Linked DNA regions of Neurospora crassa OR74A. The protein of the gene in region 1 purifies or fractionates together with the protein of each later gene. This does not show direct contact. Links are inferred from orthologs where the notes say so. Each region holds a gene or a part of one and is shown on either strand. Other genes may lie near its edges.

Region 1 (4,010 bases):
TTCGACTCTTCTGCCGAATCGATAGGATATGGAGGGTTCAGGTCCAGGAAAAAGAAGGGTATCTTGACAGCAAGAGGAAAAAAAGATGTGCAAAGCAGGAAAAAAAAGAAACTGTACCCGTACTCGGTGGCTGAGGTGGCACGTTACCCTGGGCTGGACTTGGTTTAGGATCCAGTGATGACGATCATAGACGAATGACAGTGGTTCGGTGTTTGTGAAGAACAGAAATTTCGGCTGTTGCGGATGCCCGGCCATGAGTGCGAGTGGGAATCAGCCGGCGCGTGTCCTGCGTTGCGCTTCAGGTGGTTGCACCGGGCTCCCCAGCTCACTGCCCTGGTCCGTTACCCCAATTGCGGCAAGGCGTGATGACATTGGTGGGTGGTGGCCTTTCAAGAGCAGCAACAGCACACAGCGACGCGACCTTGCATGTGACAACAGGAAGTTGAGACTGAACTGAAGGAAGACGGTTGGGCGTGAATGCCGCCATTTTCAGTTCATGCCAGGCGTTGCTCGATATACCTATACCATAGTATATTGCCGTGCCTTGTTGAAAAGAGACTTTGTACTCTGCTCAACCGTTGACGTTCATCACCTTGGTCGATCTCGGTTGATGGGGATTTCTTTGTACACAATCTCCTCATCATGTAAAAGTGGTTCAAGCGTTCTTAGCATGTTTGCCTATCATGGACTTGAGCAGACGGCCAGTCGTCAAACAAGGTTGGATGAAGACGACGTAGACTTCAATTTTGGGAGCCACTGGAGCTTAGTCGAGCTGAATATTGACACCTTCAGTTGTAGCATTACACTACCTATACCATGTAAGCAAATAAGATCAAGCCTTTGTCAGGTTGCCGTGGCTGCGTGGGTTCTTCGATGAGACCCACATTCCAATATCTGATAATTGCACTAGTAACAACAGACGATCGTGAAGATCCGAAAGCTGTCTATTGATATTCACGATACAAAACGGCTTGAGCGCACATCTGGGATATAATTAGTATAAGTCGTGAGTTGTCCAACGAATTTCTGAAATCTAATGGGAAGATCTTTAGGTTTGGACCGATCAAATTGGATTCGAAAGAAGTGAAGGCTGCTGTGTACTGTATGCAACTTGCGAGGTTACGCTCACGCTAGCTTTATCGATAGGCAGATAAGATAAGGATTGTTTGGATGGTCGCCAGGCCAATTTTTGTTTCAACAGCATCGCACTGCTATCACCACGGGCAATACGCAGAGCTTCAGGGATCGATTACAACGCCCCGATACTCCGCCAACCACATAATTAACATGGCGCCTACCCAACCACAGACTAAGGTCCGGAAGCCTCCAAGGTCTTGGGACGCTCTCACGCCTCCTCTCGCCCAATGGATTCTTGACTACCTCTCCTCCATGGGCTTTACCCAGCCGACTCCCGTTCAAAAGTCATGCCTTGAGCTCTTCCGTGGAAATAAAGATGTTGTCGTCGAGGCCGTAACAGGCAGTGGAAAGACACTTGCCTTTTTGATTCCGGTAGTTGAGGTAAGCCGGATCTCTTGCTGTCTACCAGCTCAGGATGATCATATGCTAACCGATTCTGCAACAGAAACTCCTGCGCGGCGAAGAACCAGCCAAGCGAAACCATGTCCAAGGCATTATCATCTCGCCCACCCGCGAACTTGCAACCCAGATTTACAATGTCCTCGTTTCCCTCGTCAAGTTTCACGAACCCTCCGCTGAAGCCATTTCCCACGCCAAAAGCGACGAGAAGCGCCCAACAGCAACCCAGCCTGTCGTTGTCCCCCAACTACTTGTCGGAGGCACCACCAAGGCTGCTGAGGATCTCGGTACATTCCTTCGTCTTTCCCCGAATCTCCTAATTGGCACTCCCGGCCGTCTTGCCGAACTCTTGTCGAGCGCATACGTCAAGGCTCCCGCGTCTACATTTGAGGTTCTCATTATGGATGAGGCCGATCGCCTTCTCGATATGGGTTTCGCGAACGAGCTCAACCGCATTCTCGGATATCTTCCGAAGCAGCGCCGTACTGGTCTTTTCAGTGCTTCGCTCAGTGACGCCGTTGAAAGGCTGATTACAGTTGGTCTATTGTACCCACACAAGATCACCGTCAGAGTGAAGAGTCTGAAGGACGGTGGCATAATTCAAGAGAGGAAAACACCAATGTCTCTACAGATGAGCTACCTTGTTACCCCAGCCAGCCAGAAAATGCCAGCAATTGTCCAGCTCCTCGAAAAGCTCGAGCCCAGGCCCCAGCGATCCATCATCTTCTTCTCTTCATGCATGGCCGTCAAGTACTTCAGCCGCATTCTCGGCGCCGTCCTGCCCGCCGGTTTTTCCGTCACCTCCCTGCACGGCAAACTCGAACCTAAAGTCCGCGAAAAGAACTATGAGCGTTTCGTCAACACCACCTCGCCCATGGTCCTCCTCACCACCGATCTTGCCGCCCGCGGTCTTGATATCCCCCAAGTCGACCTCGTTATCCAGCACGACCCGCCCACGGACACCAAGGTTTTCATTCACCGCTGCGGTCGTGCCGGCCGTGCCGGTCGTCGGGGTCTCGCCGTCGTTCTGCTCCAGCCGGGTCGCGAGGAAGGCTACGTACAGCTTCTTGAAGTCCGTCAAACTCCCATCACGCCCCTGGAGAAGCCCGCCATTTCCGTCACCCCTGATGAAGTCGAGCGCGTCTCCGCCGCCTTCCGATCGCAAGCCCTCGCCGACCGCGAGATCTTCCAGATGGCCCAGCTCGCTTTCGTTTCCTGGACGCGCTCCTACATCGAACACCAAGCTTCTTCCATCTTCCGCATCGCCGACCTCGACTGGCTCGACCTAGCCAAGGGCTACGGCCTTCTCGAGCTGCCCAAGATGCCCGAAGTCCGCGAAGCCAAGATCGACCGCTCTCTGGGTCTGGGCATCAACACGGAAGAAATTCCTTTCAAGGACAAGGTGCGCGAGAAAAAGCGTCAGGAAGAGCTGGCCAAGTGGAAGGAGGAGAAGGCAAAGCGGGCACAGGAAGAGAATACGGGCGACAAGCGCAAGAAGAACGAGGCGTGGAGCGGCAAGGCGGAACAGGAGGAGACGAAACTGCAGAGGCGCGAGAAGAAGAGGAGAAAGAGGGAGGCCAAGAAATTCAGCGAGATGACGGAGAAAGAGAAGGAGGAGCATCTCAAGCTGGAGCAGATGATTGAGGAGGTGAGGAAACGGAACGAGGCCAAGGCGGCGGAGGAGAGGGCAGCTGCGCTTGCGGCGAACCCACCCAAGCCGAAGGCTCCGGTGAAGAAGGTGGACGATAGTGATGAAGAGTTTGGTGGGTTTGATGATTGAGTAGCTTCTTGGGTAATGGGAGTTGATGGTAATGGTTCATTTTCTAAGACGTAAAGGCGTATGAGGCGTATATACCCTTTTGATGAATTGGAATTTTGTTGGTTCTTGGCATGCTGTATCCATGAGTCCTCATGGTAATCATGATAATGGGTGTACTCGAAAAGTACAGCTGTTTTGCCTGAGACAATATCTATCATAACACCCAAATGGAGACACAGTATCGATATCACAAATGTTCTCGAAATTCGAGACATTGTGGTAACAAAGTGTTCGTATGAACAAACCAAACCAATGTATTCAGTCCACTACATCACACCTTCAGTATACTCTTGCTCGCATGCATGCGTCTTGATTTTATCTTCTAGGCAATCTTCAAACTCCTTCCTGAACCAAATAATCCCTAATAGACTCTGGACGGCGTGGTTCCAAGTCATAAGGAGGCATATCACAGCCTTGCAACGGCCTTCCTTCCCTAGTAGGATGGATAACGTTGAAGTGTCCATGTTCGGTTTTGTTCTCTCAACCACACGCCGGGTTAACATGATTAGAAGTGGGACAAGGTTTTGCAGTTAATTGAATCTTTATTGTCTGAGCTGTAAGGACCATCATGTTCAGAGAAAAACATGCATTGTACCGGAACCAAATTCGATGTTCTCATTCATCAGTATGCCTTTGACTGTGATTCAGGCGAAGA
Region 2 (10,092 bases), on another chromosome or scaffold:
ATCATCATCTGGTCGTTCCTTGGTGCCGCAGGCAATTCTGATGAGATGTTAGTGTAGGGACCTTGCAAGGGCCAAGGCCCGTGCTTTTGCTCGCTTCTTTCCCCTTGAAAGTAGAAGTGGAAAAGGGGAGTTCTATCATCCTATCTACACGTGAGTTCGCGATTGTGCGGGGTGGGCATCTGCGGATGGGGACAACGAGAGCTCACGTCAGAGGGCGACAAGGAGTGAGGGCTTCGTTGTCACGTCCTGCTCTTAAACTTGCGACTGTTTCAGCCGAAATCGCACCATCATATCGTATTTTGACCAATAGACGACTGGCAAGATTTCAAGCCTTTTCTTTTCCTCAACATTACGGTCCATTGACCATCGCTATCAGGTACCCGCATAGGTAGGTTGCCCTTGCTGGGGTTAGGTTGGCAACGTCTCTGTCGTACTCATCAATCTCGGCAGAGCTTCGATCCCCCCCATCTTCCAACAAGCCCACCGGCATTTGACATACCCCACGATACGTGCCACAAGGTCCAACGACAACAACCCATCCATCAACATAACCACCCCATCCTTATAAGGCTATTCCCAATCCCTACCTGACCCTCCGAAGCAAATAAATGACGCTAGAGCTCCATGTCTGGGGCCCGGCTTTCGGCCTCCCCTCTATCGACGCCGAATGCCTTGCGACCGTTACGTACTTTGCGCAAACCCTAAGTGCCGCCGACTACCTGCTCGTACAGAGCAGCCCCTCTGCCGTTCCATCCCGTAAGCTCACCATATCCAGTGTCACTCAACCAGTCGCCATCTCAGACACACCCCAGCCCCGATTCCCTCCAACGAGCAAGTGCCCGCTCCATCCTCCCTCCGGCGCAATTTCATTCTCGTACGGTTTTCCCATGTCAATTCCATCAAGCTAACGGCCAAATCCCATTCATCTCGATACAGATCACCTCCCGGCACTCTACAACCCCTCCACGGCAACATGGATCTCCGGCTTCGACCCTATCGTCAACTATCTCTCCACCCTTCAACCACCCTCTTACCACCACCCTGACGTCACCACCCTCCCCTCACGCGTATACGCCGACTCTCAAGCTTACAAGGCCCTCCTGACCTCCTCGGCCGCCCCGCTCCTTGCCCTGTCCCTCTATGTCTCCTCGGCCAACTACTCTGAAACCACTCGACCCGCCTACAGCGCCATTCTCCCGTTCCCCTTACCGTGGACGGAGCCGCTCGCCGTGCGGGCCGCCATGGCCGCGCGCGCGGCGCACCTGGGTATGAGCAGCCTGGATACGGACGCGGAGATGGAGCGGCTGGAGAGGGAGGAGCGGGAGCGCGAGGCTGCGGGTTGGGTGCAGATCCCGAAGGCGCTGAGGAAGGCGGTCGGCGGGCAGAATAGCGGTGTCAAGGGCCAGTTGAGTCCCGAGATGAAGAGGAGGATCAAGTTGGAGGGGCTGGCGGCGGAGGTGTTTGATGTGCTTGGGGAAGTTGATTTCCTGGAAGAAGAGGACGGGGAGGAGGAGGAGGAGGAGGAGGAGGAGGCTAAAGAGGGCGGTGCAAGGATCAAGGTGACGCTGGAGACCAAGTGTCTTGCGTTTGCTTACCTGGCGCTCATGCTGCTTCCTGAGGTGCCGAGGCCTTGGTTGAAGGAAGTGTTGCAGAAAAAGTATGCCGGATTATGCAAGTTTGTGCTGGAATACAGGAGAAAGACGTTCCCTGACAGCGGCAAGGTGCTGCCGTGGGCGGATAGAGAGAGTGATCCCGCTGTCAGTGCCTGCGACTCGGCGCTCAGTATCGTTGGGCGGTTTGTGAGGGCCGTAATTGACGATATCCCAATGCTTGGACGGGAATGGAGCAGGTGGTGGGCGTTGAGGCAAAGAAGGGTAGCTGAAGAGAACTCTGCCGAGACACAGCTCGTTGTAAGGAGAAGCGTTGGTGAGAGTGAACGCAGTCTCTTGCTGGCTGGTGCCGGGTTGACTCTGCTGGCTATCAACGTTGCCGGCCTCGGTATTTACTGGTACCGATACCGAGGGTTGCTGGGCGCGCCGTTACAGACGTGGCATAGGCCACTGGTAGGCTTGGGCAGCTTTGGGGCGGCAGGAGCCATGTTCGCTGGTCTTGCATGAAGACGTTGAGGGTAGAGAACCTTGGGGGAGTGTATGATATGTGTCTATGATGGAAACTTGGAATGATACGAGAACGGATGAGGATACCCAATGGGAAAGCGATACAGGGTGAAGTTGGTTACAGCAAAGAAGATCCCATACGATGCATTGTAAAGCTCATGCGCAACTGATGCCATTTAGCAGATAAACAATTGTAATTGAGTGATCACCCCAAGAGTCACTAGGCCTTCTTCCAACATGCGAGTTTTTCTCTGGATTCTCTCGTTCGCCGCTGACAACCCCGGATTATCTGTCTGGCTATGTTCCATTCTATCAGCGGCCTTCACTTTTGGTCCCATCTCAACATGGCTTTACTTTACACTTAGCATGTGGACTTGCCTTTCGGTTCCCTGTGGGTTTAATGAGTACGAGTGAAGGAATGAGTTCGAAGGCTGCGTGCGTGCTTAATCACTGCACCAACAGCCCTCACACTTCAGTGCGCTGGGAATCACGCATAAAGGGGTAATCTTGAAAGGGCATGGGTGACGCGGACAGGCGGGAAGGGGACGTTTTTGCACCATTGGAAGACGTGACGAATTGATGGATATGTGCGGAAAGCGCCGAGATGATGTGGAGTGAGATCAAACTAGAATGATTGTGAAGCAGAGAGATGCCTCTAGTTGGTTGTCGATGTCTGGATATATACCAAGTACGGAATCGGTGACAGGATGACCATGAGTCTTTCCTTCGTTGACACTCGATGATAATGATGTAAATAAACGTACTAAACTGTTATATTACATTTGCCTTATGTTTGTTGTAGGCCTCTCAAATCTGACGAATCTCCTTGCCGGCCATTTCGGGTCGCTCAACCTCCCACTCATCCCTCAGGACAGCAAAGGCGAGATCGCAGACCAACAAGCTCAGTCCAAGGCCCCAAACAAGCGTGATAGCATAGAAGAAGTTTGCGTTTCCGCTACCAGCATAGATCCACAGATGGTAGAACGCAGGACCGAGAAAGGTCGTGTAAATAATAATGGCAGCAATGACAAACGAATACCGCAGCAACGGGAAGACATGTCTATACAGCGGCACCATGCCCAAGAACAACGACGCATCCGCGATGCTAGGGTATGGCTTGAAGATGCTGAAGATACCCAGCAGCAGAGTGATCACCGCAAGCGGCTGCTGGCGAAGGCGCACGCTCAACCCGCCAACATATGACGACAAATGCAGCCAAAAGACGGCCAAGAAGAATGAACGGAACGAGTCGAACATCTCGACAAAGAAGTACCACCACAGGCCGATATTGGGGGCCAGGTCAGACAGTGTAAGTTGCACACCATAGGTGGAACTAAGGAACTCCCATGAGCCGGTCAGGAAGAACGACATTTGGAAAAGCACTGCCAGAGCACCAAACGCATCCATAACCATGGTCGCGGTAAACTTGATCCACGCATTGGGCGCTCCGGTAGCGGGCAACTTCTGCCTGTCATAGCAAAGAAGAATGAGAGGCGGGAGGAGGAGTAGCGGATACATGGAGAGGTATGATGCGAAGGCTAGGGCGACCATGGCGTGAAAGGGTCTGCCGGAGATGGCATTGGCGACGGCGTGGAGAATGGCACAGGTCGTGAAGACGGTGGTCGAACGCCCAATGCATGTCGCGATGGTGAAGGGGTTGAACAGGAAGAGCGCGGCAATGATGGCACCACTCCAACGCTTGTCACGGCGCGGGGAGGTGAAGCGCGCAGACGAGCTGGCCTCGCCAGACTCTGCAATCCTTAAAAGAGCATGGGCGCTCAGAATATCGATAGCGATGTAGAGAAGGTACGTGAAGATGGGAAACGCCGCGAAGCTCGGGAGCAAGTTGAAGATGGGCAGCAAGAGGGGCGCCTGGTGGTAGACGCCGCCATCGTAAGGAGAGACGTTATGGTTATACAGGAAGAGGCCTTCTTGGACTAGATTTTGGTAGTTAGCAAACCTGTGTTCCTCGAGACGATGCGACGAATGCCGAAGAGAAAAACAAAAGCTACAACATACGGCGCTTGAAGCTTGTTACTGGCGTTGAGATCTCGACACGGCCAGTCAGGAGGTCTGGAAGACCGGGGAACAGAGTAAAGAGGGCAAGTCGCAGGACGGCAGCACCGGCGTATAAGCCAGCCGTCCTCCTCAACGTTACCTTGCCGCCATTCATTGTTCAATTCGCCATACGACGAGGTGGGAGCTGTGATGTCGAACTTGTCCCAGGGTCAAGTTACTTCTAACGACATGCCCGTCCAGTTGCGCTATACAGGAGTCGCGCCCAGCACGTTAGGTCGCCTTGTCAATCGCTGTCCCCGCCAAAGCAGACCGACAGCTGGCCCGGCCTCCACAGCTGGCGGGTCCCTGTGGGACAAGGGGTTCTGGAATCCAATCCAGACGGGAGCGGGAACCTATCTGGGCCAGACGGGCCCAGTATGTATTCTAGTAGCCTCATCTGTGCCTATCTGATGCCTCCCGTCTTTCCATCCGCTACGTTATCTTATCTTTGATCAGCTCAGGCGGTGGGAAGTGGCATAAAAAGTTCAGGACCGCGAGGGTCAGAAAAAAAGTTGATTGCAAGTGCACAGAGCGCCCCCACCTACAATTGGCTTCGATAACGATCGAGTCTGCAGACTGAAGAGATCCATCCTTGGTCCTCTTCTCCTTCTCTCACTCTTCCACCTACACCCAACAACCACAACCACCACCACCACACCCCAAAATGCCAAAAATCAAGAAGAAGGGCCAGGCCGGCGCGGCCAAGAACTACATCACCCGCACACAGGCTGTGAAGAAGCTGCAGCTTAGCCTTCCCGACTTCCGCAAGCTTTGCATCTGGAAGGGTATCTACCCGCGCGAGCCTCGTAACAAGAAGAAGGTTTCCAAGTCGGCCACTGCCTCGACCACCTTCTACTACACCAAGGACATTCAGTACCTCCTCCACGAGCCCCTTCTTCAAAAGTTCCGTGACCAGAAGGTGCTCGAGAAGAAGATCTCCCGTGCTCTTGGCAGAGGTGATGTTTCGGATGCCGCCCGCTTCGAGCGCCATGCTGCCCGCCCCGAGGCCACTGGCAAGCCCAGGTACACTCTCAACCACGTCATCCGTGAGCGCTACCCGACTTTCAACGACGCGCTCCGCGATCTCGATGACTGCTTGTCCATGCTCTTCCTCTTCGCCAACCTCCCTTCCACGAGCGCGGTTCCCGCCAAGATGATCGCCCGCTGCGAGCGTCTCTGCCTCGAATTCCAACACTACCTTATTGTTTCCCACAGCCTGCGCAAGTCGTTCCTGTCGATCAAGGGTATCTACTACCAGGCCAACATCCAGGGCGAGGATATTCTCTGGCTCGTTCCCTACAAGTTCAACCAGAGGATCGTCGGCGATGTCGATTTCCGCATTATGGGCACTTTCGTCGAGTTCTACATGACTCTTCTTGGATTCGTCAACTACCGACTTTACAGCTCGATCGGCCTCAAGTATCCTCCCAAGTTCGACCAGCTCAAGGACGAGAACGGTGCTGAGCTCGGCGCTTTCTCTCTGGAGGGTGTCAACATGGCCACCCAGGGCGAGACCAAGGCCGTCACAAACGGGGAGGAACAACAGCAGGGTCCTGACCCCAAGGTCCAGGCTGAGGTTGACAAGATTATCAAGCAACTGAAGGAGGACGAGTCCAAGAGCGACGAGACTGCCGAGGAAGATGCCGAGGCCGACGATGAGGAGAAGCCCACAGACTCCATCGACAAGTTCGAGCCAGTTGCCCCTGGTGGTGATGTTCTTCCTCAGCCGGCGTACAGCAGCAGTGACCCTTCGCAGCTGTTCGCCAACTTCACATTCTACCTCTCCCGTGAGACCCCCCGCCAGCCTCTCGAGTTCATTCTTCGTGCCTTTGGCTGCAAGAGGATAGGCTGGGATTCCGTCCTCGGCGAGGGTGCCTTCACAAATGACGAGTCGGATCCCTCCATCACCCATCACATCATTGACAGGCCAGTCGTACAAGCCGCTACCAACGAGGATGGCGATGGCGAGGACAATCAGACGGCCCAGAAGGTCGGACCCAACCAGAGATACCCCGGCAGGATATATGTCCAGCCCCAATGGGTATGGGACTGCGTCAACGACGAGGAACTCAAGAGCCCTGAGCTCTATGCTCCTGGCGCCGCTCTCCCTCCCCATCTTAGCCCCTTCGTCAAGGCCGCCCCTGGCCAGTACGATCCTACTCTGCCCCTTGAGGCTCAGCAAACCGAGGCCGAGGCTATTGAAGCCGACCTCGAGGATGCCGAGAAGGGTAATGCTGAGGATGGTTCCGATGTCGAAAACGACATGGATGTTGATGAGGCCGAGGACGATGAAGAAGAGGAGGAGGGTGACGAGGAGGATGCCGAGGAGGCCGAGGAGGAGGATGCTGAGGAAGATGAGGAGGAGTCCAAGACCCTCCAGCGTCAGCTTGAGCTAGAAGCCGAGCTCCAAGGCAAGAAGGTGCAGAATACAAAGGTAGACTCCAAGACCAAAGCCAAGCTAGAACAGCGCAAGGCTCTTGAAAAGAAGGCACGCGAGGAGGCGGAGGACCTGGAGCGCGCCAAGGGCATGCTGAGCAAGAAGAAGCGCAAGCTGTTTGAGCAGATGCAGTATACCAACAACAAGAAGAGCGCTCAGGACGAGAAGCTCCGCGCCAAGAGGAGAAAGCTGGAGAAGGAAAAGGCGCAGAAGGCGTAAGGTTAAAACACTGGCAAGGCGTAATTTTTTAGCACTTTATGTTTTGAAATGGGATACCAAAGGCTCATTTTTCTCTTTTCTTTTTGTGTAATCGACAAGTTTTGAATCCTACTCGTCGTCCTGAACTGATGCAAATGTGAATAATCGTGACATGAAAACGAGCGCCCACGAGGCTTTCGTCTGAGGGTTAGGGGTCGCTACGAACCAAACCGTAACGCCCAAGAGAAGTTGGAACGAACCGAAAATAGGACCAACGAAAGGTGAGAGTACAAAGTAAAAGAATTGAGTGAGGAGTCAGAGGTTCATCAGTTTCTCCATCCTTGTTGCTGTGGTACTACTACTGGGATGCTTTCGTACGTCAGTGCGGTTCTTCGACCTTCAATCTCTTGTCACTCCCGTCCTTAGTGATTGATCACCAGAATTTGCACTCAACAACCCTGCCAACGCGGGAAGAGCACCCACTAAACTGGGCCATGCAATGTCTTCACACTTGAATCAAGAAGATTCCGGCGACGAGGATTGGGATAAGGACACTGAAGAGATTAATTCCATCGCATCAGATGAACTGCACGAAACCCGCCCCAATCGGTGGAATGGGGCCCCCTCCACATGGCTCACATTCACCGCGCACGAAAGAAAGGCCTACCAAGCGTTAGAGGGCTTGCGCAGGCGAGACTTGTCAGCACATCTCTACAACGCGCACGCATTGCGAACCCGAGCCAAAAGGCAGGAGACCAAAGAAGTGAGTCTACCGAGTCAGTTTAGAAAAGCAAAAGCTAACAATTGCTCAGGCGACCAACGATCAGCCTGAAGACGAAGACGGTTCACAGCGCAGAGAGAATGAATGGGCTCCGAGCCACCGATGGACGGCTTGGCCACTGAGGACTGGTGAGGTGGTTGATGATGAGCTCCTCCCGCGGACCGCAGACGAGCACGAGGCTTTCACGCTGCGTCCGCCCGTCCGGACTTACCCCAGCAGGAATCTAGAGGAAGAGATTTCGGCAACAATTTTACGATGTGCCAAGGAAAAGTTCCGAAGCAGAGGCTTCCCCGAAGAAGACGACGAGGATGATCACTCCGCCATACACGCGATGGGCGAAAGGAACGATGGCGTTGTGGACTCGATAGAAAAGGGCGACAACGACCATCACCACCATGCCGAATCCAGTCAGGTGCTATCCAGCCCGCCACGGCGCAACGACGAGTCGGCCCGGTATAGCGTACCACTCTCGAGCCCGGTCAAACGTGAGCCGGTCTCCCAAGACGAGAGCAGTAAACAAGAGGGCTCTGCTTCGTATACCCCCAGCTCTTCACGTCGACGTCCTCGAGCTCCTACGCCTACCTACATTCCTGGCCCATCAGTCGATGACGACAGATCCTACAAACTGCTCCGTCCCGCATCGCGGCGCATCCTCTCAAAGCTGGACGAAACCTTGACAATACTACACAACGCCCGCGTCGCCGGTCTCCGCGACCTATCCGAATCTTCTGCTAGTGACACTGAGGATAACGACAACGACGCCGAAACGGAAGAGCCTGATCGACAGCAGCAGCAGCAGCAGCAGCAGCAGCGCACACTAAGGGGAAGACCCCGTGCGCGCTCCCCATCACATTCCGCAGAAGCGACAGCGTCCGAGGCTAAATCAAATTCGCCGCGAGGAATCAGCAAGCGAGGGCGTAAAAGAAAATTACGCATTCCCCTCGAGGGCGAGACCGAGCAGGAAATGCTTGAACGCGTCGCCCGCGAGACGCACAAGCGGATACCCTCTTTCTTTCGCTCCCGGGCTTCCTCCTCTCATACTACCGACGACGCCGACGCTGACGCCGACGAAACAGCTTCTGAAGCCGAAGCCCGCGGGCCGCCAAGGTCATACCAACTACCCTCCTCCAAGAAGAAGACAACGGAACGTCCCAATAGGCACAGGGCCAGAAGCAGAAGCAGAAGCAGAAGCAGAAGCGTAACCAGCACCGCCGCCTTGACCGCCGCCCAAGAAAAAGACCGCATGGGCCGCGTCGCACGCTGGGGTCTCCGCGACTGGCGCGACGTCCTCGGGGCAGCTGCCCTGGCTGGGTTTCCGCAGAGCGTGATTGCTCGCGCGACGCAGAGATGCGCTACGCTTTTCGGGGAAGAGATGGCGATGCATACCCTTTGTTCTTCTTCCTCTAGGCGTGTCAAGACGAAGATTTACCACCCCGGCGACCCGCTCCCCGACTCTTCTGAAGAGGAGGTGGACGCCACTGATATTGCGTTGGAGCAGAGACGGACGGTTAGTCGACAGCCGAGTCTTGTGAGGACGTTTTCACCTGATGTCGATGATGAGCAGCAAGAAGGCGAGGAAGTCACGAAGGGTGTTGAAGCTGCTTCTGAAGCGGGAACAGAAACAGAAAGGGCACGCGGTAGAAGCGAAAGCCCGGCCCGTAGCAGGAGCAGAGCTAAAAGGGCGGGTACACCCGCACTCGGTGGCGGGCTTAGGGTGAGGAGACGGTCGGTCACGCCGGCGGCCGGAGGGGATGTGTATTTCTGCCCGTACCCTGAGTGTGCGAGAGCTGTGGAAGGGTTTGGGAGAAGAGCGAATATGCATCGACATTTGAAGCTTGTCCATGGGCGGAGTCCACCTGCTTCTCCCGCAGGCTCTGTGGTGGGAAGGGATGATCAAGATAGTATGGATGAGATGGAGGGTGGTATACATTTGGACGGGTTTTTGCAGCCGATTAAGGTGCGGAAGGGGTGGAGAGGAGGGGATCTAATACAGAGGGAGAGGGAAAGAGGGAGAGGGAAAACGAGGCCGGAGTATGGGTCGGATGTGGATATGAAGCTTGGGAATGATGAGACTAGAGGACATGATTTCGACCTCTGAAACAAAGTAGTCTCGATATCTCATGAAGATTTCAAGAGATAGCAAGATCTGAACTGGGAAAACTGCTGTTATGGAAAACTGTTGCGGATGCTCTTTACCATACCAAGGTCTCACTTACCACTACCATCTCTCTGAGGCGTCAGGCAACCTTCCCAGGGTACGATCTTAGTAAATTTGTTTCCTCCCTCGATTTACACGTTTCAATGTAATTCTTCTATTTCTTCTTACGCAATGCGAGTGAAGCGGGTGTCTCCAACTTGAGCTTCCTTTGGATCCTAATAGCGCGAATCTTCAAGACATCTCAAACATCCAAGAGGCACAACTTCATTTCTCCTCAGTCAACTGCAACCAGTTCCAGATCTTGATATACGTCCCATCCCGGCCTCCAATTAATTTAACTCCC

What was found. The genes of interacting proteins can lie anywhere in the genome.
Region 2: the proteins of NCU03380 (region 1) and NCU00925 purify together in Saccharomyces cerevisiae (affinity purification with mass spectrometry; 8 studies listed by BioGRID, with this or other methods). This does not show direct contact. The link is inferred for Neurospora crassa OR74A from reciprocal best matches to the Saccharomyces cerevisiae genes SPB4 and NOP7.

What each region holds. Positions count from the first base shown.
Region 1 is NC_026502.1:904,071-908,080, forward strand, and holds NCU03380 (ATP-dependent rRNA helicase spb-4), read left to right. Parts: upstream 1-1,210; 5' UTR 1,211-1,287; coding exon 1,288-1,518; intron 1,519-1,582; coding exon 1,583-3,316; 3' UTR 3,317-3,627; downstream 3,628-4,010. UniProt on the Saccharomyces cerevisiae protein: ATP-binding RNA helicase involved in the biogenesis of 60S ribosomal subunits. Binds 90S pre-ribosomal particles and dissociates from pre-60S ribosomal particles after processing of 27SB pre-rRNA.
Region 2 is NC_026501.1:6,703,031-6,713,122, reverse strand, and holds NCU00925 (pescadillo), read left to right. Parts: upstream 1-4,711; 5' UTR 4,712-4,839; coding exon 4,840-6,831; 3' UTR 6,832-6,942; downstream 6,943-10,092. Other genes in the region: tob37 (topogenesis of outer membrane beta barrel protein 37), read left to right, coding at 609-756, 937-2,117; gpit-2 (glycosylphosphatidylinositol transamidase 2), read right to left, coding at 2,925-4,054, 4,137-4,290; NCU00926 (hypothetical protein), read left to right, coding at 7,310-7,573, 7,623-9,689. UniProt on the Saccharomyces cerevisiae protein: Component of the NOP7 complex, which is required for maturation of the 25S and 5.8S ribosomal RNAs and formation of the 60S ribosome.